Macaca fascicularis: one gene and its partners. The protein of the gene in region 2 purifies or fractionates together with the protein of the main gene of each other region. This does not show direct contact. Links are inferred from orthologs where the notes say so. Each region holds a gene or a part of one and is shown on either strand. Other genes may lie near its edges.

Evidence for each region.
Region 1: the proteins of PDE4DIPP2 (region 2) and PRKACB purify together in Homo sapiens (affinity purification with mass spectrometry; 5 studies listed by BioGRID and IntAct, counting the BioPlex papers as one, with this or other methods). This does not show direct contact. The link is inferred for Macaca fascicularis from reciprocal best matches to the Homo sapiens genes PDE4DIP and PRKACB.
Region 3: the proteins of PDE4DIPP2 (region 2) and CDK5RAP2 purify together in Homo sapiens (affinity purification with mass spectrometry; 3 studies listed by BioGRID and IntAct, counting the BioPlex papers as one, with this or other methods). This does not show direct contact. The link is inferred for Macaca fascicularis from reciprocal best matches to the Homo sapiens genes PDE4DIP and CDK5RAP2.
Region 4: the proteins of PDE4DIPP2 (region 2) and PRKACA purify together in Homo sapiens (affinity purification with mass spectrometry; 5 studies listed by BioGRID and IntAct, with this or other methods). This does not show direct contact. The link is inferred for Macaca fascicularis from reciprocal best matches to the Homo sapiens genes PDE4DIP and PRKACA.

What each region holds. Positions count from the first base shown.
Region 1 is NC_088375.1:150,407,923-150,412,898, forward strand, and holds part of PRKACB (cAMP-dependent protein kinase catalytic subunit beta), read right to left. Parts: intron 2,785-4,976; coding exon 2,659-2,784; 3' UTR 1-2,658. UniProt on the Homo sapiens protein: Mediates cAMP-dependent signaling triggered by receptor binding to GPCRs.
Region 2 is NC_088375.1:113,983,957-113,989,831, reverse strand, and holds part of PDE4DIPP2 (myomegalin), read left to right. Parts: intron 1-1,348; coding exon 1,349-1,465; intron 1,466-2,032; coding exon 2,033-2,259; intron 2,260-4,556; coding exon 4,557-4,700; intron 4,701-5,773; coding exon 5,774-5,875. UniProt on the Homo sapiens protein: Functions as an anchor sequestering components of the cAMP-dependent pathway to Golgi and/or centrosomes.
Region 3 is NC_088389.1:37,585,579-37,591,453, reverse strand, and holds part of CDK5RAP2 (CDK5 regulatory subunit-associated protein 2), read right to left. Parts: intron 3,853-5,875; coding exon 3,775-3,852; intron 2,812-3,774; coding exon 2,546-2,811; intron 472-2,545; coding exon 328-471; intron 1-327. UniProt on the Homo sapiens protein: Potential regulator of CDK5 activity via its interaction with CDK5R1. Negative regulator of centriole disengagement (licensing) which maintains centriole engagement and cohesion. Involved in regulation of mitotic spindle orientation.
Region 4 is NC_088393.1:14,534,798-14,541,313, reverse strand, and holds the start of PRKACA (cAMP-dependent protein kinase catalytic subunit alpha), read left to right. Parts: upstream 1-2,541; 5' UTR 2,542-2,744; coding exon 2,745-2,790; intron 2,791-6,516.

The DNA of each region.
Region 1 (4,976 bases), about 36 Mb from region 2:
GACAATCTTGTCATCAACTGTGAAAGTTAGGAGGAATTTTACAAACTGCCTAATCCAGTTCTTCTATTTTACAGACAAGAGAACTGAGGCTGAGATCATACTGATAGTTTTCCAGCCTGAAATTCAGATGTCTTGACTTTCAGTCTAGGGCTCCTTCTCATACAATGCCATCTCTTAATTATTTACTGAGCATAACATAGTATCTTCTGTTTCAAATAATGTAATTTGAGGTTAAATACTGATTTATGCTACTTACTTCTTATTCAAGTTTATATCTTGTTCTTGGCTAAATTGTGGCTGAAACTGGGAATTCTACATACCTTAAAAATATTCTAATTTAGAGTACTTGATTGGTCAGAAATCGACTCCCTTGACGTATTCGCTCATGATAAGCTTGCTCACGGCCTTTAAATAGAGAGTAAAATGGAATGGCTGACTAGCCCTCAAAACCAATGTATGTCTAGGGGTCATCTACCTAAGGTAGATTCTACAGCTGGGCACTAGTAATTTCATAGAAAAAAATATTTTTTTTAGAATTCATAGAAATCTTTTTGATTACTGAAAACTAAATTGTAATAATCAAATTGTCATCCCCATGACTTATTAAAATAATTTTACAATAATATACAACAAAGCTACCATAGAATTTATAGTTTACATATAGAATATATTGGTCAGCATGTTCTTGGGTCTAAATGAAATACAAGAAAATTAAAATATTTTATACAAATGATGTTTTAAATTTATTAACATGACGATATGTCTTTGTTACATAAAACTTGCTAGAGCAGAGTATTTTAATTTTTTTCTTGCACGTTTTAAATATAGATGGACCAGTGAAATCAATATCAGCATTTACGTGACATTACCATGCAGAAACACTTGATAACCGAAAGACATATAGATTGGTAGAAAGAACATCTCAGACAGGATTTTTTTATGTCTTCAAAGGTTTTACAAGGGTGTGGTACAGATGAAAAGAAGTGGTGTGAGTGACCTACCTGCACCGATAATAAAGCAAATGGAATGATTATATACATTAAGATCAGCTTGATTAAAAACAACAAATTTTATATGCATGTAAATTGATCATTAAAATGAACCCAGTTTAACCCTTCTTGTGTGTTGTTTTAAGGTAGGTCACTGAAACGCAGAGATAAAATCAGATGGGGAAAATTAAAAGTAAAGAAAAAACCAGAAAAACAACTGGGTTAAGCCATGGATTCTCAACAAACACTGAACTAAATGTGCAAAAGTGCTTGAAATTTCCACCTGACAGCAATGTTGTTAAGTCAGTTGGCAAAAAAAAGTGTAGAAAAAAAACTAACCTCTCAAATACCAAAATTGTATCTGCATGATCGATCAGACATTCTGTTTACTGACAGAAAAGAGGTTAGAAATTATGAAATATCTGAAAATATCATACCTCAAAATTAAAATACAATTGTGGCAGTTTTACACACTTTGTTCCCTTTCCTCATTGATGAGGCATGGGATGAAAGCAGAAGTTGCAGCAGTGCCCCTACCCTAGGCTCACAAATATAGTATACCAGAATAATTAGCTGGAAACAACTTCTTTTTAAGGGTTACAGAACAAAACAAACGTAAACCCTCATTTAAATATGAATACCTCTATAATGTTTTCAATAACCAAGCCATTTTTTGACTTTGCAAAGTGTAAGTATTTATCCAAACCAATGTTCTTTTTAGTTTGCTTATTTTCATTTAAAAAGTTTATGATGAGGACTATTAGAGAAACTGTAAAATTTGTCACTTTCATTAACCATGTTCTATTAAAATACTGGCTAAAATCCTTAAGGAACAGTTAAGGTTTAGAAAACTTAGAACTCTTCTCTAATACCTACAGAAATGCTGGTACCAAGTGAGAGAATCTGGGTGATGATCCATATCATTAGTTTTTCCTGCTGAAAGTGACACATTTGTCACACTACACAGGCTGGTCACTTCATTACTCAAGGGGAGGAGGATATAAAAGGAGGGAAAGGCAACTAGAACCTCTGATCTACAGCCATCCAAATTTCTGGGTCTAGCTGTACTGTATTAGTCTACCAAAATTTACTGCCGGAATAGTGAATTCCAAGAAAGTTAGTTTTAATTTGTATAAATTTCCTTGGTGATAAGACAGTCTATCTTCAAAAATTACCAAGAGTTTTGGCAAAACCGAGTCTGAGCTACTCAAAGTAAAAATAATTATTAGAAAGTTTATCTTCAAGCCATTGACCAACAACAATATTGGCAAGAACTACTAAAAGCAACACTTATCCTTCCCTTCAAATATCACGTAGCCATAACACTGCCCATCTGAAACACCAACAAAATAAAATGGAGCACTGTTTAGAGAAAACCAATGAAACTGGAAAAGGAAGAAATGGATGTAGGAGAGGAGAAAGACAACCCAAAGATAAGTAAGAAAGTGGTCTAGTACTGTGTTATGGCACAGACAATGCTTGCTTAGCGGTGCCTTGTTACATAGGTGGATGCAGAGTGCACACACGGGATGATGGCAATAAAGACCTCACTCAGTCGTTGGAATGAAGGAACTAGGTAACTGCTTCAACAAGGACGGTCTCAGCTCTACCTTATCTCTCAACAGAGCGCAAACACTGAGTGTGAGCTCGGATGTCATCTTGTTCCTCTTTAAAATTCACCAAATTCTTTTGCACATTTTTCTGTTATAGAGACACGGATATCTTCTTCTTCATAGTCATCAAAGTTGCTGGTATCTCCAGAGCCTCTAAACTTTGGTATGAATGGAGCTTCAACCTATAATTGACCGAGAAAGAAAAATAAGAAAAAAGAAAAAAAAATTCCTGAGAGTTTTCAAACACCAAGAAAAATAAATTCCCACTGTTATTACATGGTGGAATCCTTAGATGCCATTAGGTTCCTAAAATGTAACAGGGCTAGAAGCAGCAGCAAACAGTAGGTTAGCTATTAACCTCAACATTTTGATTCAAGGAAGTATGCAGGTCAACAAAATACTTAAGAAATTTCTGGGATAATTAACTGTTGGCATCAAAATCCTGGCTCCTAAGGTTACAAAACTTAAGTGTTAATGTTTAGTTCCTTGTTTTTAAGACCTTATCTTTTCCTATTCCTTTTGTAAAAATTCTTTTCTCCTGAAGTTACAGATAAATCTCAGACTTACTTTTAATTGCTTTCCTTTTTTAATTCCCAAGTTTGTTTTGTTTAAAATATCTGGCCATCAAAACTTTCTGAGAGGTTGGAAAGAAACATATCTCTTTTAGAATTAGAGAATTGTTAAACCTTAAATATTTTTCTCCTTTGATCCTAAAAGTAAAATGTCTTCCCACTACTTTGAATATGGTCTTCCATAAAGATTAAATGTGGGTACTGAATACGTTTGAGGAAAAGATTTTAAAAGTTAAAAAAAAATCATAATCTGCACAGCCTTTAGAGAATTTACAAACAATTACAGTCGCTTTATTTTGTTCTCAATACAACACTGTGAGGAAGGAAGGACAGGTGTTCTTACTCCCATTTTACAGATTATAAAAGAGTCGACCAAATTCACATGATGGATAAGCGGCTAAAGCAGCTTTCAAATTCATGATTCTCCACTTCTGGCCCAGAGCTCTCCAAGGGTTTTTAATTTATATCTCTTTCAGTAAAACATTTTCTAGTATACATAATCAATATATATGGTTATTTACTTACAAATTATTTAGATGCATGACTATACTAAGATATATACACACAAATAAGGTATTGAAAAAGAACAAGGTAAAAATAAGCAGGAATGGGACTTCTAATATTATCTTTTTGTTTGAGAGCTGGTTGCCTTGCATGCCCTGCTTTGGGGACTGCTGTTTTGCACTGTCCAGAAGAATGAGATAAGCAGACAGTTGCTTCATGTCTAGCCAGCCAGCAATTTAGAATAACAAACCTATTGGGGCAATCACATGTAGAAAATGATTGTACAGTTTGAGTTGTTCAGGCCACTTCTTTCTTCGGCCTTTTTTCTTCCCTGATGCATTTGCAGATGTATCAGAGAATAAAGAAGACAATGAAAACTATTCATATTTACTATGATTTTTGCACCGCTGTGCATAGTTATAATAGTTGAGAAGATAAGAAAACAAATGGTTAAAGTACTCTATTATTCTTATTTGTAAATTATCCAGGGATCCTTACATCTGTTTCAACGATAATCAAGATTTGGCTGTCAATCAATTTGTCCATTACTACAACCTGTACGTTACAGTGTGCCACTTGTTGGTAGGTTAGCTGTTTATTACCTGGGAAAAGTCAAGCCCTTTGAAAAGCACATAAACTCTAAATGAGTAGTGGCAGTCCAGTTCTACTCCATTTTGGGAATAATTATTAAAAATTAAATACATAACATGAATAGATTAGTAAATGATTGCCATTTGGCAGAAGATTTTATTTGTAAATATAAATATGAAAAGATGCAAATACATCATAAATCTTTAGGATACTAATAAAGCTGACAAGCCTCAAGGCAATCTAAAAAATATACCTCGAAATAGCATTAATTAACAATAAATACAACAATAAAGATAATATAAGCAATGATAATTAGAAAGGGAAATGGATGATTTTATTGGAAATATAAATTTCTTAAATTGACTCAAAAAGTAAAAACTCAAAAAGACCAATATCCAAGAATTAGTTTGTTAAAATTTATAAGGAATAGATATAAGATAACTCTATGTTCCTAAATTTTCTGCAGAATAAAAGGATGGAAACTTTCTAAACTCATTTTACGAATCCCATATAATCCCAACTTCAGAAAAACATAAACTATAGATTAATAAAACTTATGACTATGGAAGTAAAAACACTTAATAAGATTTTGGCAAATATATTTCAGGCAAATATTCAAATGTTAATACCCCATGATTAAATGGTATTCATTCCAGGAAAGTGAGGATGTCTCCCTGATATAATTCATCACACTAAAATGTCAAAAA
Region 2 (5,875 bases):
CCCCTAAGGAAACAGGGCTCTGGGGAAGTCCTGGGTGGTGGGTGATTTATTTCGGGTAGCCATCATTCGCTTTCTCTACCCCACCTCTTGCCTGCCTTTTCAGATAGGTGTGTTTGACCAGGTCCCCCTTCTCTTCTCAACATCCCCCATCAATCTCACTTCTCCCAGTTTTCATTGAAATGTCAGTGGTGTCCCCCGAGTCTCTTAAATCATTCAATTTCTACTTCCTCTGTCCTTTTTTCCTTTTAATACACCATTTAGCACACCATCTCCACTCACCTCCATGTCCACACCTTCAATTTCATTCAAATCAGGAGCCACTTCTGTTCAGTTTCTCTAAAGCTGAGCTTTCAAACTCTCCTGCCAGCTATTTCTGCGTCATGTGAATCTTTATGTTTCTCTGGTTCTTGTAGATGCTCCTTTATCTGACAGTAACCTTATTTGTCAAATAAAGGTGACAATAACATGATTATGCTGTTTTGGCAATTCAATTAAAAAAACACATGTAGGCTGCCAAGCAAACCGCCTGGCTGCCAGGAACTTCTCAGCTAACGTTAGGTGGACGCCTTGCCCTCCTCTGGGCTGCCCTGATGGTTGTGGTGTTCAGTTATGTCTCCAACTCTTCCTTCTAACCAGGCCTTCCCCTCTCACTGGCTTCCCACACAGCAGCCAAGACTCAGCCCCACTGGCGCCATCCCTGCCCCGCTTTCTCCAGCACCCCCGAGGCCTGAGCTGGAAAACAGGCACTGGGCCACACTTGCCTGAGCAGGACCTTTTCTACCTTCTTTGTGATATTATCCAATTCCTCCACCATAGGGTTACTTTTTAGTCTCCAGCAAGACAATGTTAACCCACCAAGCCTTCTGTCTCCGTTCTTCTCATACAAGTCAACTTTTTCAGTATTATTAGCTCATCAGAATGATGACTAGAATGTTGAGTTTAGTCCCCCATGAATCCATTCATTCCTTGGTTCCTTGATTCTACATTTTAATATGTACGATGTATATTTATACATATTACATTTAGTTACAGGGCATCGTATTAGATACCACACACAAATTATACTCAACACTCGGTTTATAAAAGTACACCTAATAATTTTTCAAACTAGAGGTTTCTTTCTCATGGAACACCCCTCAGTCAAAGGAATATCTTTTTGTTCTGAAGAATGGAAACATTCTGAACTCAGTGACTCACTGGCTTTTGCTTTTGCTTGTGGGGTATGGATAATTCTGTAAGAGGAGAGTCCTGCCACCTTAGACCTCAGTGGGGACGGTTAGGTGTGCATGTGCTTCATGTGCTGTGTGTTCCAGGGCTCCTGAAAACTGTGGTTGCCTTTACCCCCTAGATTCAGCTGTGTCCCCTCCAGTCCGGGATGTTGCGATGAATTCCCCAGCTCTGGTCCTCCCCAGCTCTGCTTCCTCTACTCCTGGCTCAGAAACGGCCATAATCCACAGAAAAAATGGTAAATATGGCAACTAAAGGGCCCAGGGACTGATGATGGAAAGTGATTAATGCAAATAATCTTTTGTTGTCTCTAAACATATTATCTGTATTTACAGAGTTTTCTCTGCATGCCCCGAGGCCTTTAGCCCTACTCACTGCACCTTCTGTGGCTGCCTTTCTTGCCATTGTTCATCCTCCTGTAGTTTTCCTACTGCTGTTTATGCTTCATTGCACCATAATCTCTCCATTCTTGAAAATGTTCTCTGTATCCAGCTTGATTTCCTTGTCTGTGTCTTCTCTACCCAGAAACTTATTATTTATTATAATTTGTCCTATTTCATTGGCCAATAAGAAAAAATTGTCCCCTGGCAAATTTATCATTAAGAGATGATGTAAGAAAAATTACAAAAATATAGAAGCCAGAAGATCTCTATGGTCTTTGCCCCACCCTTGTACATTCCAAGGCTTCCTTTCTTGTTCCCAGCCTCTTCCTTTTCTTGTCTCCTACCTCTTCTGAGTTGGAGCAAACCTAGGATATCATTATGAATAACAGAGGATTCTGTTGTGTTGTTATTTTCTTTTCCAGGCTTGGGTTTGGATACTTCTCCAGTAATGAAGACCCCTCCCAAGTTGGAGGGTGATGCTACTGATGGCTCCTTTGCCAATAAGCATGGCCGCCATGTCATTGGCCACATTGATGACTACAGTGCCCTGAGACAGCAGATTGTGGAGGGCAAGCTGCTGGCCAAAAAGATAGTGTCTCTTGTGAGGTCAGCGTGCAGCTTCCCTGGCCTTGAAGCCCAAGGCACAGAGGTAATCACACCTGTAGCTTTAGATGCACTGTTTCCTTGTGCCCTTTCTTCCTTTGATGGTAACTCCTTCTCCCACCATTTTTGTTTTTGTTTTTGTTTTTCGTGCTTTGCATCTCTCAACAGCTGAGGCTTCCTCTTCCATGTACAGCAGCCAGACCCTGTCTTCTCTGTCTCCTATTTTCACTGTCAGTTCTGCTCTGTTCCAGATGTAGCTGACTGGATATTTCCCCTCAGCCCCACAGAAACACGTGGCATTGCCTAGCAGCCTTTGGGAGCTTTTTTTTTTTTTCCTCTTTTCTTGTTTTTATTATTATACCTTAAGTTCTAGGGTACATATGCACAATGTGCAGGTTTGTTACATATGTATACATGTGCCATGTTGGTGTGCTGCACCCATTAACTCGTCATTTACATTAGGTATATCTCCTAATGCTATCCCTCTCCTCTGCCCCCTCCCCACAATAGGACCTGGTGTGTGATGTTCCCCTTCCTGTGTCCAAGTGATCTCATTGTCAAGTTCCCACCTATGAGTGAGAACATGCAGTGTTTGGTTTTCTGTTCTTGAGATAGTTTGCTGAGAATGATGGTTTCCAGCTGCATCCATGTCTCTACAAAGGACACGAACTCATCCTTTTTTATGGCTGCATAGTGTTCCATGGTGTACATGTGCCACATTTTCTTTTTTTTTTTTTTTTTGAGACGGAGTCTCGCTCTGTCACCCAGGCTGGAGTGCAGTGGCCAGATCTCAGCTCACTGCAAGCTCCGCCTCCCGGGTTCCCGCCATTCTCCTGCCTCAGCCTCCCGAGTAGCTGGGACCACAGGCGCCGCCACCTCGCCCGGCTAATTTTTTGTGTTTTTAGTAGAGACGGGGTTTCGCCGTGTTAGCCAGGATGGTCTCAATCTCCTGACCTAGTGATCCGCCCGTCTCGGCCTCCCAAAGTGCTGGGATTACAGGCTTGAGCCACCGCGCCCGGCCATGTGCCACATTTTCTTAATCCAGTCTGTCACTGATGGACATTTGGGTTGATTCCAAGTCTTTGCTATTGTGAATAGTGCCGCAATAAACATACATGTGCATGTGTGTTTATAGCAGCATGATTTATAATCCTTTGGGTATATCCCCAGTAATGGGATGGCTGGGTCAAATGGTATTTCTAGTTCTAGATCCTTGAGGAATCGCCACACTGTTTTCCATAATGGTTGAACTATTTTACAGTCCCACCAACAGTGTAAAAGTGTTCCTATTTCTCCACATCCTCTCCAGCACCTGTTGTTTCCTGACTTTTTAATGATCGCCATTCTAACTGCTGTGAGATGGTATCTCATTGTGGTTTTGATTTGCATTTCTCTGATGGCCAGTGATGATGAGCATTTTTTCACGTGTCTGTTGGCTGCATAAATGTCTTCTTTTGAGAAGTGTCTGTTCATATCCTTTGCCCACTTTTTGATGGGGTTGTTTGTTTTTTTCTTGTAAATTTGAGTTCTTTGTAGGTTCTGGATATTAGCCCTTTGTCAGATGAGTAGATTGCAAAGATTTTCTCCCATTCTGTAGTTTGCCTGTTCACTCTGATGGTGGTTTCCTTTGCTGTGCAGAAGCTCTTGAGTTTAATTAGATCCCATTTGTCAATTTTGGCTTTTGTTGCCATTGCTTTATGCAGGCACATGACCATCTGTGGGCAGAGTTGACACAATGGGGTGGACAGAAACTGAAGGATTTGCAGGTGTATGGCCCCCACATGTGGAAGGGGTGAGAAGCCTGGCAGCCATGGCATTTCCTTGTGCAGACTGCATAGAGGGAGGGAAGGCAGTCAGCAAAGCTTCTCAGAGCGCCTTGCCAGTGAGAGAGACCAGGCACCAGGGCTGTGCTGTCTGAGCTGCTGGAGACCCATGGATGCGTAGGGACAGCCCTGCCTCCACGGAACCCCACACTAGAGGGCAAGACACACACACAAGTAGATCAGCACAGTAAGGGGCTACAGACACAGCATGAGAAGCCATCCTCTGTGCTGTGAGGCCGCCAATGCAAACGTGGTCATTTATCTCAGGCAAGGAAGGTAACAGGTTCATAGAGGACACAGCAAGGGGGGTGAGTTTTGAAAGCCTTGTGGGTTCTGCAGGTGGAGGGAGGCATACCTGGTAAAGGGACCAGCACCTTAGTTCTGAGAGCTGCAAATGGTTGTGCGAGGGCTTCACAGTTCAAGCAGGCCCATGTTCTGTGCCTCACTCACAAAGGAAGCGGGAGCCCATGCAGGGGGAAGAAAGTAATCTCTCCGCTTCTGTGGTGTTACCTTTCCCCAGGTGATGGGCAGCAAAGGCATACATGAGCTTCGGAGCAGCACCACTGCACTGCACCATGCCCTAGAGGAGTCGGCTTCCCTCCTCACCGTGTTCTGGAGAGCGGCCCTGCCAAGCACCCACATCCCTGTGCTGCCTGGCAAAGTGGTAAGATGCCAGTGTCCTTTCTTGGTTTGAACCCAGTTTTCCTGCCCTCCAATACTGTTCTGTCTCTTCAGTGTCACAGCTTTTCCAGAAAATCGGGAGCCACATAGTGAATTGGGATAGACAGGACCTTAGAGGAGTGTCCCTGGAGGGACATCTCTGACCCATGGTGGCTGCTTTCATTGCAGCTGTAAATACATCCCATTCCCCACCAACCCCCTGGCCCCTGGATAAAAAATCAAGAAGAGGAAGGGGTGTGGAGAAGGCGGAGACATCATAACCCTGGCAATCCATAAAGGTTCAGTTTCTTTACCTCTCTGAAGTTTGGCTGAGCTGAAATTCAGTTAAAGCTTCAGCACCCACCTCCCACCCCTCAGGTCCCATGGTCACATGATCACAGAATGCCCCCATGAGACTGAGCCTTTTCAGCCGCTGCCTGGAATTCCAGCATATCACTTCAGCTGGCATCTCTGGACCAGGCCTGGGGAAAGTCAGCCACTCCTCAGGATCTGCTCAGAGCTCAGGCTAACTCTGATTGGCAGACCCTCGAGGAGACAGGTTTCAGGATCCCCTCCCCAGGGATCCCAGCTCCAGATCAATGTCACCAACACCTTTGGGATCCAGCTAGGCTCATTCCAGGGAGACGGTGTTTTGCCATCTCCATATTGGCACAAATATTTACAAACTTGCAAACTTTCCTGAGTCCAGATCTCTCTCCCGAATGTATCATTTCTGAACTTGCCTGTGAAGGGAGTGACAGAACTGATATCAGGACTAAAGCAAGGTCCTCTTCAGAGCTGGGAGTTTTATTCCAGCCTGAAGCGAAATTCTCTTAAGCTACAGGTGTGTGGGCCTGTGCTAGTCTACATGGGGAATTCCAGAGTCTCAATATTCCTACCTAATGGCCTCATCCTAAACTGTCCTCAGCTGGAGGTATCTGAGGCTGTGAAGGAGGAAATCCAGTTCAGGAGGGTGGAGAAGATTGTAGAATCCTTCTTGGAATTGGAAAGAGCCACAAAGCACAGGGTGCTTTAGTCCTTCTGCCTGTTCAGTAAGAGTCTGTTCCTCTTATCCAGGGAGAATCAACAGAAAGGGAACTTCTGGAACTGAGAACCCAAGTATCCAAACAGGAGCGGCTCCTTCAGAGCACAGCTGAGCGCCTGAAGACTGCGAACCAG
Region 3 (5,875 bases), on a different chromosome or scaffold from region 2:
ATAAACACTGGGTTCCAATATTTATGCTTTCAAACAAGCTCTAACCTTGACTAAGTGCTTCAGCTCCCTGAGTCCTGGTTTCCTCATGTGTAGAATGCAGACAGGATTCTACTCAACAAAGATATGCTCAGACGGGTCAGGGCTACAGGAGTGTGGGATGGATCAAGTAAGAACACGGTGAAGCCACAGCAAACAGGGCCATCTCCTCCCTGATACATACCCCAAATGGTGGTCACATCTGCTGTGGGCCCCTGCTTGGCATGGAGGAAACTGAGACACAGGCCCCAGTGGCATCACTGAGCCTCTGAATCATGTGTCACCACCTACCTGCTCACAGTGAAGGGGGCACTGGCCATCTTCGGGGACTGAGACTCTCCAGAGAAGTTTCAGCCGCCTGGAGGCCTCTTCCAGGGTCAGCTTGGCTGTGCTCACACTGCTCACAAACTTGCTCAGTGGTGCTGGGTGTGGACCCTACACGGGGGGGATATGAAGGCTGTTATGTGCAGTCTTGAAAAAGATTTTGGACAAGCAAGCCTTAACGTGCAGCATAAATCTCCAGACTGTAGGGCTTCTGTTTCACATGCTGAGCGAAAGCCTGGTACCACATAGCACCAATTTATTGTTCTTAAAGACTGGTGAATTGTAGATTATGAGAGAATTTCAGGGGTGATTTTAGCCCAATCAATAACCATGATTAATAACCACCATGGTTAATAACCACCAGCATTAACTACAGTTACTACTCCAAGTACAGGGTCTGTGGGAGGGCCATTCTCACGGTTTGGCGGCCCACAGAGACCCGCCCAGAGAAAATGACACCAACAGCAAACAATACATGGTTTTGTCTTTACTGGTCCCTGTTAAATGGCCCTGCTGTAGTGAATATGATATCACGGCCTTATACCGCTGGCAGAGCAAACTCAAATTGGGAGGTATCAAGGGCTTAAGAAAATTATCTATGTGATTCAGAAAAGGGGAAATACAAAAAAAGAAGAAGAAATGAAAAAAGCATTTGTTTTTATAAGTAATAAAATAAATACAAAAATAGAATGAGGTCAGGCACAGTGGTTCATGCCTATAATCCTAACACTTTGGGAGGCCAACGTGGGAGGATTGCTTAAGCCCAGAAATCCAAGACCACCCTAGGCAACATAGTGAGACCCCCATCTCTACAAAAAATAAAAAATTAGCTAGGTGTGGCAGTCTACACCTGTAGTCCTGGCTACTCAGGAAGCTGGGATGGGAGGATTGCTTAAGCTTAGGAGATCAAGGCTGCAGTGTGCCACAATCATGCCACATCCCCCAGCCTGGACAACACAGCGAGACCCTGTCTCAAAAAAAAAAAAAAAGAGAAAAAAGACACACCCTTTTTAGATAATAAAGTAAAAAAAAGTCATTATAAATAAAAATACCTGGGCTGGGCACGGTGGCTCACACCTTTATCCCAGCACTTTGGGAGGCCGAGGCAGTTGGATCACCTTAAGTCAGGAGTTCAAGACCAGCCTGGCCAGCATGGTGAAACCCGGTCTGTACTAAAAATACAACAATTAGCCGGGCATGGTGGCAGGTGCCTGTAATCTCAGCTACTAAAGAGGCTGAGGGAGGAGAATCACGTGAACCCAAGAGGAGGAGGCTGCAGTGAGCCAAGATCACACCACTGAACTCTAGCCTGAGCAACAGAATGAGACTCCATTTAAAAAAAAAAAAAAAGAAATATATATATATATATATATATGCTGACATACTCAGGCATGATAGCTGACACCCGTAATCCCAACACTTTAGGAGGCCAAGGTGGGAGGATCGTTTGAGCCCAGGAGATCAAGGCCAACCTGGGCAACATAGTGAGACCCTGTCTCTAAAAAATAAAAATAAAAAAAATAGCCAGGTGTGATGGCACATGCCTGGTCACAGCTACTTGCGAGGCTGAGGGAGGAGTATTGCTTGAGCCTAGGAGGTGGGGTCGAGGCTACAGTGAGCCATGATCACACCACTGCACTCCAGCCTGGGTGACAGAGCTAGATCCTGTCTCAAAATAAAAAAACACAACAACAACAACAACAAAACCTCAACAAAGACAAAAATATAGTGAGACAAACATTCATGAACAGAGACACAATTGTTTTGGAAAGTAATGCAGCAACAGTTATCACCAAGAGCCCTAAAAAGTTCACAACCTTTGAACTAGTAATTCCACTTCACAATGGGTGACAGCTAGGTGGATGGGCAGATGAGTGGACAGACACACCAGGGTGCAGATGGAGAGAAGAATGGATGAGAGACCAGATGTACAGAGGCCGTCATGGGAGCAAGACAGCAGAGCCCATGAAGTAACTGCAGGAATACAGAGCATGAACCCCATCAAACACAGCCACCACCCACAGTCCCCCACACTGGACCTGACCTCTGAGCTCTCTGGGGCCACACTTCCTAGTCCCTCTTCTCAGGGTCCTACTGAGGACAACTGCACCATCTGACTCCCCTACCCCTTCCATGGACACTCCCAGGGAGCAGCTTGTGCCTTCCAGCTCTGTGGTCAGGTTACCTTTGTTCCCAGCTCTTGACTTGTGTAGCTAGGAGCCTCTTGGGTTTGAATGTCCATTTCGGCAAGAAGCCTCTGTCCCTGGCCGATCTGTTTGAGCAGGGCCTCATAGTCCTCAATCAGGCCCAGGACGTGGCGGCCGTTCTTGCTGGCCCACAGGCGGTGGCCAGCGACCAGGCGGGACACACACGGAGTGCTAGTTGCCGAGCTGCCACTGTCACAGGAGAGGGAGTCCGTGTCATTCTCAGAGAGTGGAAGAGTCTCTGAAACTGTAAAATGAGAGGTAGGATGTAAAATCTGTTTCAGGTAACACTCTGCGTTCAAGGCGCTTATGATGTTGAAGCTAGCTAGGAGGGCTAGGAGAGGCCCTCGTGCCCAAATGCCACCCAACACAAGCCCAGTGGGGAAAAGACGCATGGCTCCTGGACCTCTATCTATTACCCCACACTGGCTTACGAGTCATCTTGTAGGATAGGCTCAAGTCAACTCAACCAACACTTTTCAACCACCCACTCAGCAGAAGACCCCAGATTCACAAGGATAACTCAAGCTGGTGCCTGCATTCCAGTAGCCCACAGTCTGATCAGAACACAGACACTGCGGAAGGTGCAACAGCAGAGTGATGAAGGGCCAGAGCCAGGAAAAACAATTATCTGTGCAGGGAGGGAGAGAACAGGGAAGGCTTCTGAGAAGGAGCAGCATTTGAGCTGGACTGAGCAAGAAGCAAGAATTACACTAATGATGAGTCATTCTGACCAGGGACAGCAGCAAAGCCATGTCACAGAAAAATGTGCATTCATGATGAGTCTTGAGGAAATGGGACTTTTACTGGCAAAGAGTGGGACAAAGGGGGTCTAAAAGTCACAGTGAGAGGAAAGTGTGGGCCTGTCTGCAGGATGGTGACCCCTGTGTGGCTACACCAGGGTAAGGGATAAGGCTGGACGGGCCCACTGGAGCTGGATCCTGGGCGGCCTTGAAAGCCTCACAAAGATGGTCACAATTTTAATCTAAGGCAACAGGGACCCAATGATGTTCTAAGCTTGGTAACACCTAGGAGTAGATTAACTGGCTTGAAGGAGGATATCACCAGCTGGAGATGCTGAGAACTTGAAATCCCAAATCCTTGCCAAATACCCTCCTGAGGTGGGACTAGGGACCCCCTTTTCTGCAATTTAAAAAGTCTTACTGTCACATCCAATGCTGCCACCGTTACCCAGACTTCAGCTTTGTACCTGATTTTGGTGTCACTGCCTGGGAGGAATCAAACAGATCAAATGAATTATCACTTTCCATGGGATCTTTGTCACCATCTACAAAATGCAAAACACGAGAACTGTTAGTTTCACTGCTGTCAGCATTCAAGAGAGAACTGAATGAGAATACAGTCAAGCCCCTCACATTCACTAATTCATACACACACAAGCATTCCTTCAAATCTTCACTAGGCCTCTGTCCTGCCAGGCCCACCTGTGTGGGACACCAGGGAGACAGAGTGACCAGGCCCAATCCGTTCCCTAGAAAAACTCTTAGCAGAAAAGTAAACAAGCAATTTTATTTTAGTGTTAATGAAAACACAGGCTGTTGAGGCTCAGGTGAGGGCACTACCCCCAACTTGGCTTCCCAAAGGCTAACACCTGTTTTAAAACCTTATGTGTTTTTTTTGTTTGTTTGTTTGTTTGTTTGTTTGTTTTTTGATGGAGTCTTGCTCTGTCACCCAGGCTGGAGTGCAGTGGCACAATCTCGGCTCACTGCAAGCTCCGCCTCCCAGGTTCATGCCATTCTCCTGCCTCAGCCTCCCGAGTAGCTGGGACTACAGGCGCCCGCCACCACGCCCGGCTATTTTTTGTATTTTTAGTAGAGATGGGGTTTCACCATTTTAAGACTGACTGTGACTGACCTGTGGTAAGAAGGAGGGAAAGAAATGCCAGGCAGCACAATGGGCAGGTGAGAGGCAGACAGTGGGACGAAGAGTGGAATCATCACTCAGGGAGAAATAAGCAGTTCATAGACCCAAGGCCCAGGGGGCAGGGAAGGACAAAGTAGGATGCAAGGCCAGAACCAAGAGGACTGAGGGGCCCACTCAAGGGCTTTGGGCAACGCAATGTCAAGCTGAGGTCTGTATTTTGTACTGGAGGAGTTTTTTTTCTGTCTGGAGGCTGCCACACTAATCTAAGCCAGAGATGAGAGTAACCCACAATAGGATCTGGGGGGTGATGTATTTGCAACACTGTAAGGAGGCAAAATCAATAGATGATGTACAGATGATCTGTGCAACACGTAATAATTTGGAAAGCACTTTCACATATGAAAAGCTATTGGACTCAATAGCTCAGTGGGCAGAACACATTGTAATTCAGATTTCATGGAAGGGGAAACCAAGTGGCAGAGATAGAAAGTGATCTGTCCAGCATAACCCAGCACGTCAGTGGCAGAGAGCAAGCGAGCCCAGGGTTTAGGATCCCCCCATCAGAGCTCCTGCACCACTGGGCAGTGGGCTGCTGCACTCCAGCACCACCCAAGGGTCTGCTACAGTTCCTAAGGCCAAGGAGCCAGGAGGTCAGCTCCATAGAGCTGGCCCTGAGAGGAATCACTCTCAGCGAAAGACATCAGCCTTTAGAACATAATTTTAAAAACAGATGCACTTAAATACAGACCTGAGAAGTCTTTTGCAAAGGAAGAAATGCTGCTGCCTACAATTCTGATCTTGACTCAAGAAAATTAGAAAACTTTTCTGCTGAGGCAACACCGTGAATTCTGAATGCTCTCCTGGATGCCTCTTGCCACACATGCTGAGGGCTGCTTTCGGCAAATTTCAAAGGCAAAGGCTGTTTGATGGCCTCCTCGCTTCAGCTACCCAACGCTCCTTCCTGGGCACCCCAAGCACAGAACTCTTCTCCTTGCTTCAATCTCCCCTAGCCCACCCCCACAAGCTCCTCAAAGCCTTAAAAAGGGCCAGGTGCAGACCCATGTTAAAAATATTAATGCCCGATGCTGATGAGGTCACGCAAAAACCACTACCTTTGTACACTTCTGATGGACAGACCATTTAGAAGGTAGAAATATGGCACCTTTCTAAACTTCTGAGATTCCCCTGGTCGGGTTTTCTCCTAAGAATATTGTTTAACAGCAAAAAGTATATTAACATTGATGTCTATTATGGCTCTAAATCAGAGACCACTTTAATAATCAACGGGGTCATGGACTGGTGACTAAGAATAGCCTGCAAACAATCATTAGGAAGCCCATGTGAAAGCAGAGGGAACATGTATGATGCAATATTGGACAAAAACAAAGAAAGGACACAGAATGACACAAAAACCAATTTGAAAAATA
Region 4 (6,516 bases), on a different chromosome or scaffold from region 2:
CCTGGCCAGAAGGATGATCTCGCTTTTCTTGTACAGGCCTATAAGAAGCAGGTACTTCAGTTCTAAATTCTTTCTGACTTGTGTTCTTTTCGTCTTCATAAATTCTACCTAAGGCCATTGTGCCACTGTGCACCCCTGAGTACCACTGACCCAAAGCTTTCCGACAGACCTCCCTGGCCTGCCTAGAGGCTTTCTTGGTCAGTGCCCGTCAAGGCTCTGGTCCTGCTGAGCCAAAGGTTCTGTCATTCCTTTCTCTTCCCGTTCACTGAGCAGATCCACTCCAGCTTTCTGGTGTCACAGGCAGGAATCTTGGTTAGTAGGTAGACTTAGATCCCATTTCTGTCCTGCTCCCAGGAAGATTCTTAGGTCCTCTTCAATCCAGCAGCCCCTGGAAAACTCTGCTCCCAGAGGTGTGATCAGCAGGATGCTGAGGAACCATGTTGCCTTTCCTGTCAATCATAGCCACCTTCCTGTTATCTCCTAAATGGATCTGGCTTTTTCTAGTTGGAAGATGGTGTCAGAGGGCCTGCCTGCGCAGTCTGTCTCTGGGTCGGGGTCAGGGACCCTCTGCTTCTGGCAGCCTTAATCTTCTCTCTGCTAGGACCAGGGTGATTTCAAGCCAGGGAAGCAACTGGGACCCTGAAAACCATCCCTCCCCAGCCTGCTCTCCCTCTCTGTGCCCTGGTCCCCTTGCTGCCATGTGGATGCTGTTGTGATTGCTGTTTGTATATTATTAAAATGTTTTTATATTAAAAATGTTTGGTTGGTCTGAAAATTAAAAGCACTTGGTTTAGAATGATTGTTTGTGCTTTTGTCTTGTGTGGACTGAAGCAACTTTGTCCACTCTCCCCCAGAAGTGGTCTCATGACCTGTCCAGTGGGTGGGCTGTCCCATGTCTTCTTCCCAGCTTCCTACTCCAGTCTTAATTGGTTCTACAGTATTCCAGACTGAGGTTCCAGAAGAGGTTTTTGTCAAAATTTAAGCAAACCAGCTGTCCTGCAGATAGATTATAATCAGTGATTTTTCAGACTGCCCTTGACCCACAGGAAGAAATTAACATCGTGATCCCAACACACAAACAGCAATGCTTTTATTAAATTTTACTAAACCTTAACCATGTAACCATCCAGAGGCCGAGTGGTCAGCCATTTTCGCGTAATTCACAGAAAGGCTCTGACTCTCCCTCCCTGGAACCATGGTTGATCTGGGAACATGGGTGCAGACAGCGGCTGGAGAGGGCGTAGGCTGTTCAAGTCTAAGCAGCAGATCGGCTTGCAGTTGAGCCCAGCTAGCCCTTCCGTGTCAGGGTGACCTGACTTCTCCCCTCCCCTGACCCTCTCTTAAGTGCTTCTCAATCAGGAGCAGTTCGGCCCCGCAGAGCACATTCACCAATGTCAGGAGACAGCGGTTGCCACAGCCAGCAGGAAAAGAGGAGGGGCTACTGGCATCCAGTGGGTACAGGCGGGGGATGTTGCTCAACACCCAGTGGTGCGCAAGACACCCCCAGCAGAGAATGATCCAGCCCCACTGTCAGTAATGTCGCAGTTGGGAAACCCCGACTGTCCTCGGCTAAGTGTGTACTGAAAGAGGATCCCGAAGGAAGGGGCAGGTTCCCTTTGCATTGCCGACAGGAAATACAGACGGGGAATGGGAGCAGGGAATCTGCCTGGCTGTACCCCAGATTCCTCATCTGTGCAATGGGAGTGATGATGGTAGCACCTACGCGATGGGAGTGTGGTGCGAAGGAGCGTTAAGTGGGTGCCAGCTCTTACTACTGGCAGCCCAGGGCTAGGACCCAGCAAAGGGGTGGACATTGAGCGCCCCTTCCCAGCCACTCCTTGCGCCGGGCCCGGCATCCTCCTGACTGCGGCTGGGAAAACCCAGGAGGCCCCGCGGCCTGGCCCCCAAGCAGGCCTGGCCACGGCTGCCCAGCGCCAGGCCTTATGAATGACGCCGGCGGCGGCCGGGCGACCTCTGACCCGCGCGCCGGTCGCGCCCCTCCCCCGCTGGCAGGTGGTCAGCGGCTGCGCCGGGCAGGCCGCGGCGCCAACCCCGGCTGGCCGACAGCCGCTGCCGCACTGAGCGGGGGCGGGGGACTGCGGCGCGCGCGGGGCCGGCCGGGCGCCCGCCGGGGCCGCCTCCTGAGCCTCGGAGTGCTGCGCGGCCGCCCGCCAGCCTCCGCCGCCCCGCCCCGCCGGCCCGGGCCCGCAGACTGCGCCTCTGCCCCGCCCTCTCACCCCCGGATTGACACTGAGCGTTCTGCTGGGGGCTTGTCGAACAGGGCACCTCCGCCAATCGGCGGCCTCGCGGGGCGGACCCCGGGCCCAGTCCAGCGCCTCGGCCAATCGGACGCGTCTGCCCGCCCAGCTGCGGCCTCACGAGCGCGTGAATGGCCGAGAGTCCGCGGTGACGTCACGAGATTGAGAGCCTATAGCGGCGAGAGAAGGTCGCGGGAGGGCCAATGGGCGGCGGCGCGGAGCCGTCAGTCAGGGCGGCCTAGGCCAATGAGCGGCGGGCTGCGGGGGCGTCACGGACAGCAGCAGAGATCTTGGGCTGAGGTTCCCGGGCGGGCGGGCGCGGAGAGACGCGGGAAGCAGGGGCTGGGCGGGGGTCGCGGCGCCGCAGCTAGCGCAGCCAGCCCGAGGGCCGCCGCCGCCGCCGCCCAGCGCGCTCCGGGGCCGCCGGCCGCCGCCAGCACCCGCCGCGCCGCAGCTCCCGGACCGGCCCCGGCCGCCGCCGCCGCGATGGGCAACGCCGCCGCCGCCAAGAAGGGCAGCGAGCAGGAGAGCGGTGAGTGCCCCGGCCGTGACCCCGATCCCGGCCCTGCGCTGCCAGTCCTGGCCTTGTCCATCATCGCCTGGCCCCTCCCCCTACGGGGCCCCCCCATTCCTCTCTGCCTACCCCCCAGCGCCCCTTGCCCCGGCCTGTCCAAGGCTGGGGCCCGCGGGCCCGCAGAGTACCCCCTGTAGGGGTCCCCTTCCCCTAGGGCCGCCCCACACTGCAAAGACCGTGCTCCCCCCCAGCTGTCACTGCCAACCATGGCACGTATGACCGCTGGGGCCCCACATGGGGCCCTGTCACCAGCCTACCCCCTCCTTTCCTGGCCCCTCTCCCCAGATTCTAATCCCCCCACTTCCTCACTCACTTCTGTCGCCTATGGGATCCTCTGCCTGACCCCGACCCATGTTTCTGCCAGTTTGGGAATGCGATGGGGTCTGTCTGCCTCTACCGCGCAGGGACCTTGGCCACTTGGTGACCACACCCCTCCCCCCTCCAGCCCCCGCCATCTTTCTCCTGCCCTTCCCCTCTTCACCTTAGCACAGCCCCCGCTTCCAAACCCATCCTACCCCCCTGAGCATTTCCCAGAGCCACCTCCAGCATTGTTTTTTTCTTCTGTGTCACTTGGCATGGGGGACAGGATCTTTCTGGGTCCCTCTGCCTCTCTCATCCTGTCACTGTGTCATTCTGCTTCTCTGCTTGGGCTCCGTCCTCCAAGCAAGCGTCTGTCCCTGGCTGGGGTAGCAGACTGTTTATGAACGTAGAGAACTGCTTCAGTGCTTCCAAAGCCAAGTTTGAGCTGGTCTTGTTGGGATTCATTGCGTCCTCTTTCCTGCGTTGGGGTAGGGGGGTGGTGGCAGAGCCCCCTCGCATTTCCTGCCTTGCAGTGAGCTCTAGGCTCCATGGAGGGCCCCTCAATAAATGGTCGTTTCACAACTGAGGCTCCGTCATTCACCCAGTGCCTGGGGCTTCTTCCACCGCTCCTGGTTTGGGATGAAAAGTGTCTGCGTTTAGCGAGGTTCATTCGGTTTTAATTGGGATGGTCAGAAAGAGCACTGGGGAGGGGGAGGCAGTCAAAGAGAGTAATGGGTGATGTCTAGTGATTTGCTTTGATGTCTAGTGATTCTGATCATTCCCAGGGCTCAGCCAGAGAGAGACCTTTTTCACCCACTTGCCCCCAAATTATGTTGGCCTTTTCCAGCCAGCCAGAGAAAGAGATTCTCTATCTGGAAATACCATCAGAAATGGTCTTGAACCCCATTCCCAATTCTTATAGCTCTTAAATTGTTGTCACGTCAGTCTGAAAGCTGGAAGGCGGCTGGGATCCCCTGTCCACTTACCCAGAAATAGTCAGAACTATTAGTCGAAAAGGAAGGCCAGTTTTTGGTCTCAAACCCCAGCATCTGAGTTCCCTGACTACCCCCTCCCAGAAAGGTATGAAAGCCAGGGAACTTTATTCCTATACGGATTCAGATAGCAGAACTCAGAGTTACAGAGCAATCATGAAGAGGCCTGACATGTCACCAATGGGCGGGGGCCGGGGAGGGAAGTGCCTGTAGCTGAGTGCTTGATGACAGAGGAGCAGGTGGGTAGTGTCCAAAAAAGGTCTGGGCATGAGCTTGGAGGGGACTTGGCAGAGGGGGAGGAGTCAGGCCCCCAGCAGGTGAGGCCAGCTGGGAGGTGGAAGGTGGAGGCAGGCAGCTATGTATTACGGTGGCTCAGTTGAAAGTTGGGGAGATGACAGTCCTGGAAAACCTTCAAGGCTATTAGACACATGTGGTGGCGGGTGGAAAGCTGCACAAGAAAAAGGATCCTAAGAAAAAGATCAGAGGCTCTGGAAGGAACCACTGATTCTCTCAGAGCACAGGTCAGACACCCAGGAATGAATGATCACGGTAAAATAGAGCTACTATTTGTTGGGCATCTAGGCTGTGCCACAGGCTAAATGGCCAGGCAGATAGATATATCTACTCTAGTGACTTTCATAACGGGCTGTTATCCAAATTTTCCAAAGGAGCCCTCTGGCAGAAATGACAGCCATGACATAGATGATGTCACAGAGGCAGGATTCACATCCAGATCCACCTACCAGCAAACTTCTTGGACCCCAGAATTTCCCGACTCTGACATTTTTCAGCAGCCTCCCAGATTTTTACTCTATCATATTTTCTTAATTTAAAATAATAAAAATTTTACTCACTTCTGTTCAGATGTAAACTTGGAGCTCATTCTAAACAATAATATAAATGAAATCATGGGATTGCTATGCCAGTTATATTTTCTCTGATACACATTAAATACAGTGTAACTAGATAAATGAAACATCCCGAAAATCATGTCATGTTCTGCCAATGGGACCATGTCACACTTTGAGAAACGCCCGAAGCTGTACTTCCTCCCAGAGGCTTCCAGAGAAGGAAATAAGATGAGGAAGGAAGTCCCTCTTTGCTTTGAGGCGCTCTGATTCTGAGAGGATAGAGTTGGACAAAATTTGCCTTCTTACAAGGGTGGGGCAGGGGCGGGGGCAGTAGCCAGGCCAGCCTGCAGGGGGCACCTGGATTTCATCTGCCAGACGCCGGCCCGACTGGGGTCAGGAAAATGCCCAAGCCTTGGGAGGCACCAGTTAAGCATCCTGCAGTCCCCTGTGGTACCATCTCTGCCAGGGCAAGACAGACTCCGCCTCCTCCCAAGAGGCCAGGGATCCAGAATGAGCCCTGGAGTGGAATGGGGAGAATCTACACCCAAAGATGGCAAAGCCATTGGGAGAGCTGAGAGGGCCGAGAAAAAAGACTAAGTCCCAGATGCTGGCCAGGTTCGAAGAATGGAGAGGGAGCAGCGGCCCCAGAGGGCAGGCGCCCAGGTCAGACAGCCAAGTGGGGCTCAGGTCGTGGCTGGCACTGACTGAAGATACCCCTGGGAGCTGGCCCATAGGGGAAGAGGCAGAGCTGGTAAAAGGGAGCCCCCCCCCATCCCCGGGACACAAGCAGATCCCGGCAAAGAGAGAAAAGCACCCCCCAAGAAGACGCTAGATGGGAAGAACTAGTGCCATGCAACATCCTATGGATGCCTAAGACGGCCAAACACGTTCTGTGCCTTGGCAGTTGTATGGGTGCCCAAGAGGGTCTTGTCAAGGTAGTGCTCCCCTTAGCGCAACCACGTCTACAGAAACTTGGAGGGTCCTATCTGTCCCTCCTCTGCACCCTAGTGGCCTCTGGGTTGGGTTTCTCTTCCTGATCCCACCCCACGTCTCCCTAGCTCCCCCTGCAGGGAGGGTTCTGGGGATGGACAGCCCGGCAGACACGGTAGGTCTCATGAGCCTTCCCAGCCACCGTAGTCCCGGTGCCCTGAGAACAGGACTGAGTGATGGCTTCCAACTCCAGCGATGGTGAGGCTGAGCCCTGTTACTATAGCAACTTCCCAGGCACACGCTGCCCCTCAAGTCAGGGAGGGGCTGCAGAGGCGTCTGGGGCACTGGCGAAGAGGAAGAGGATGTGAACCCCTGGCTGGCCCTGGAAACGCCTCCTGTATAGCCCCAGGCTGTGCGGACTGGGGAAGAACAGAGGGGATCGGTGGCCCAGTTCAGACAAGGGAGGATGGTCCACCCAGCAGGGGGGCCAGCTCAGACAAGGGTGGTGGAGAGGTGCATCCCAGTGTTGGGGTTCAGCTCAGTCTGTGGGATGAGCCATCCCAGTGTTGGGGTCCAGCTCAGAGTTGTGGCATGGTAAGCCCAGAGGAGGG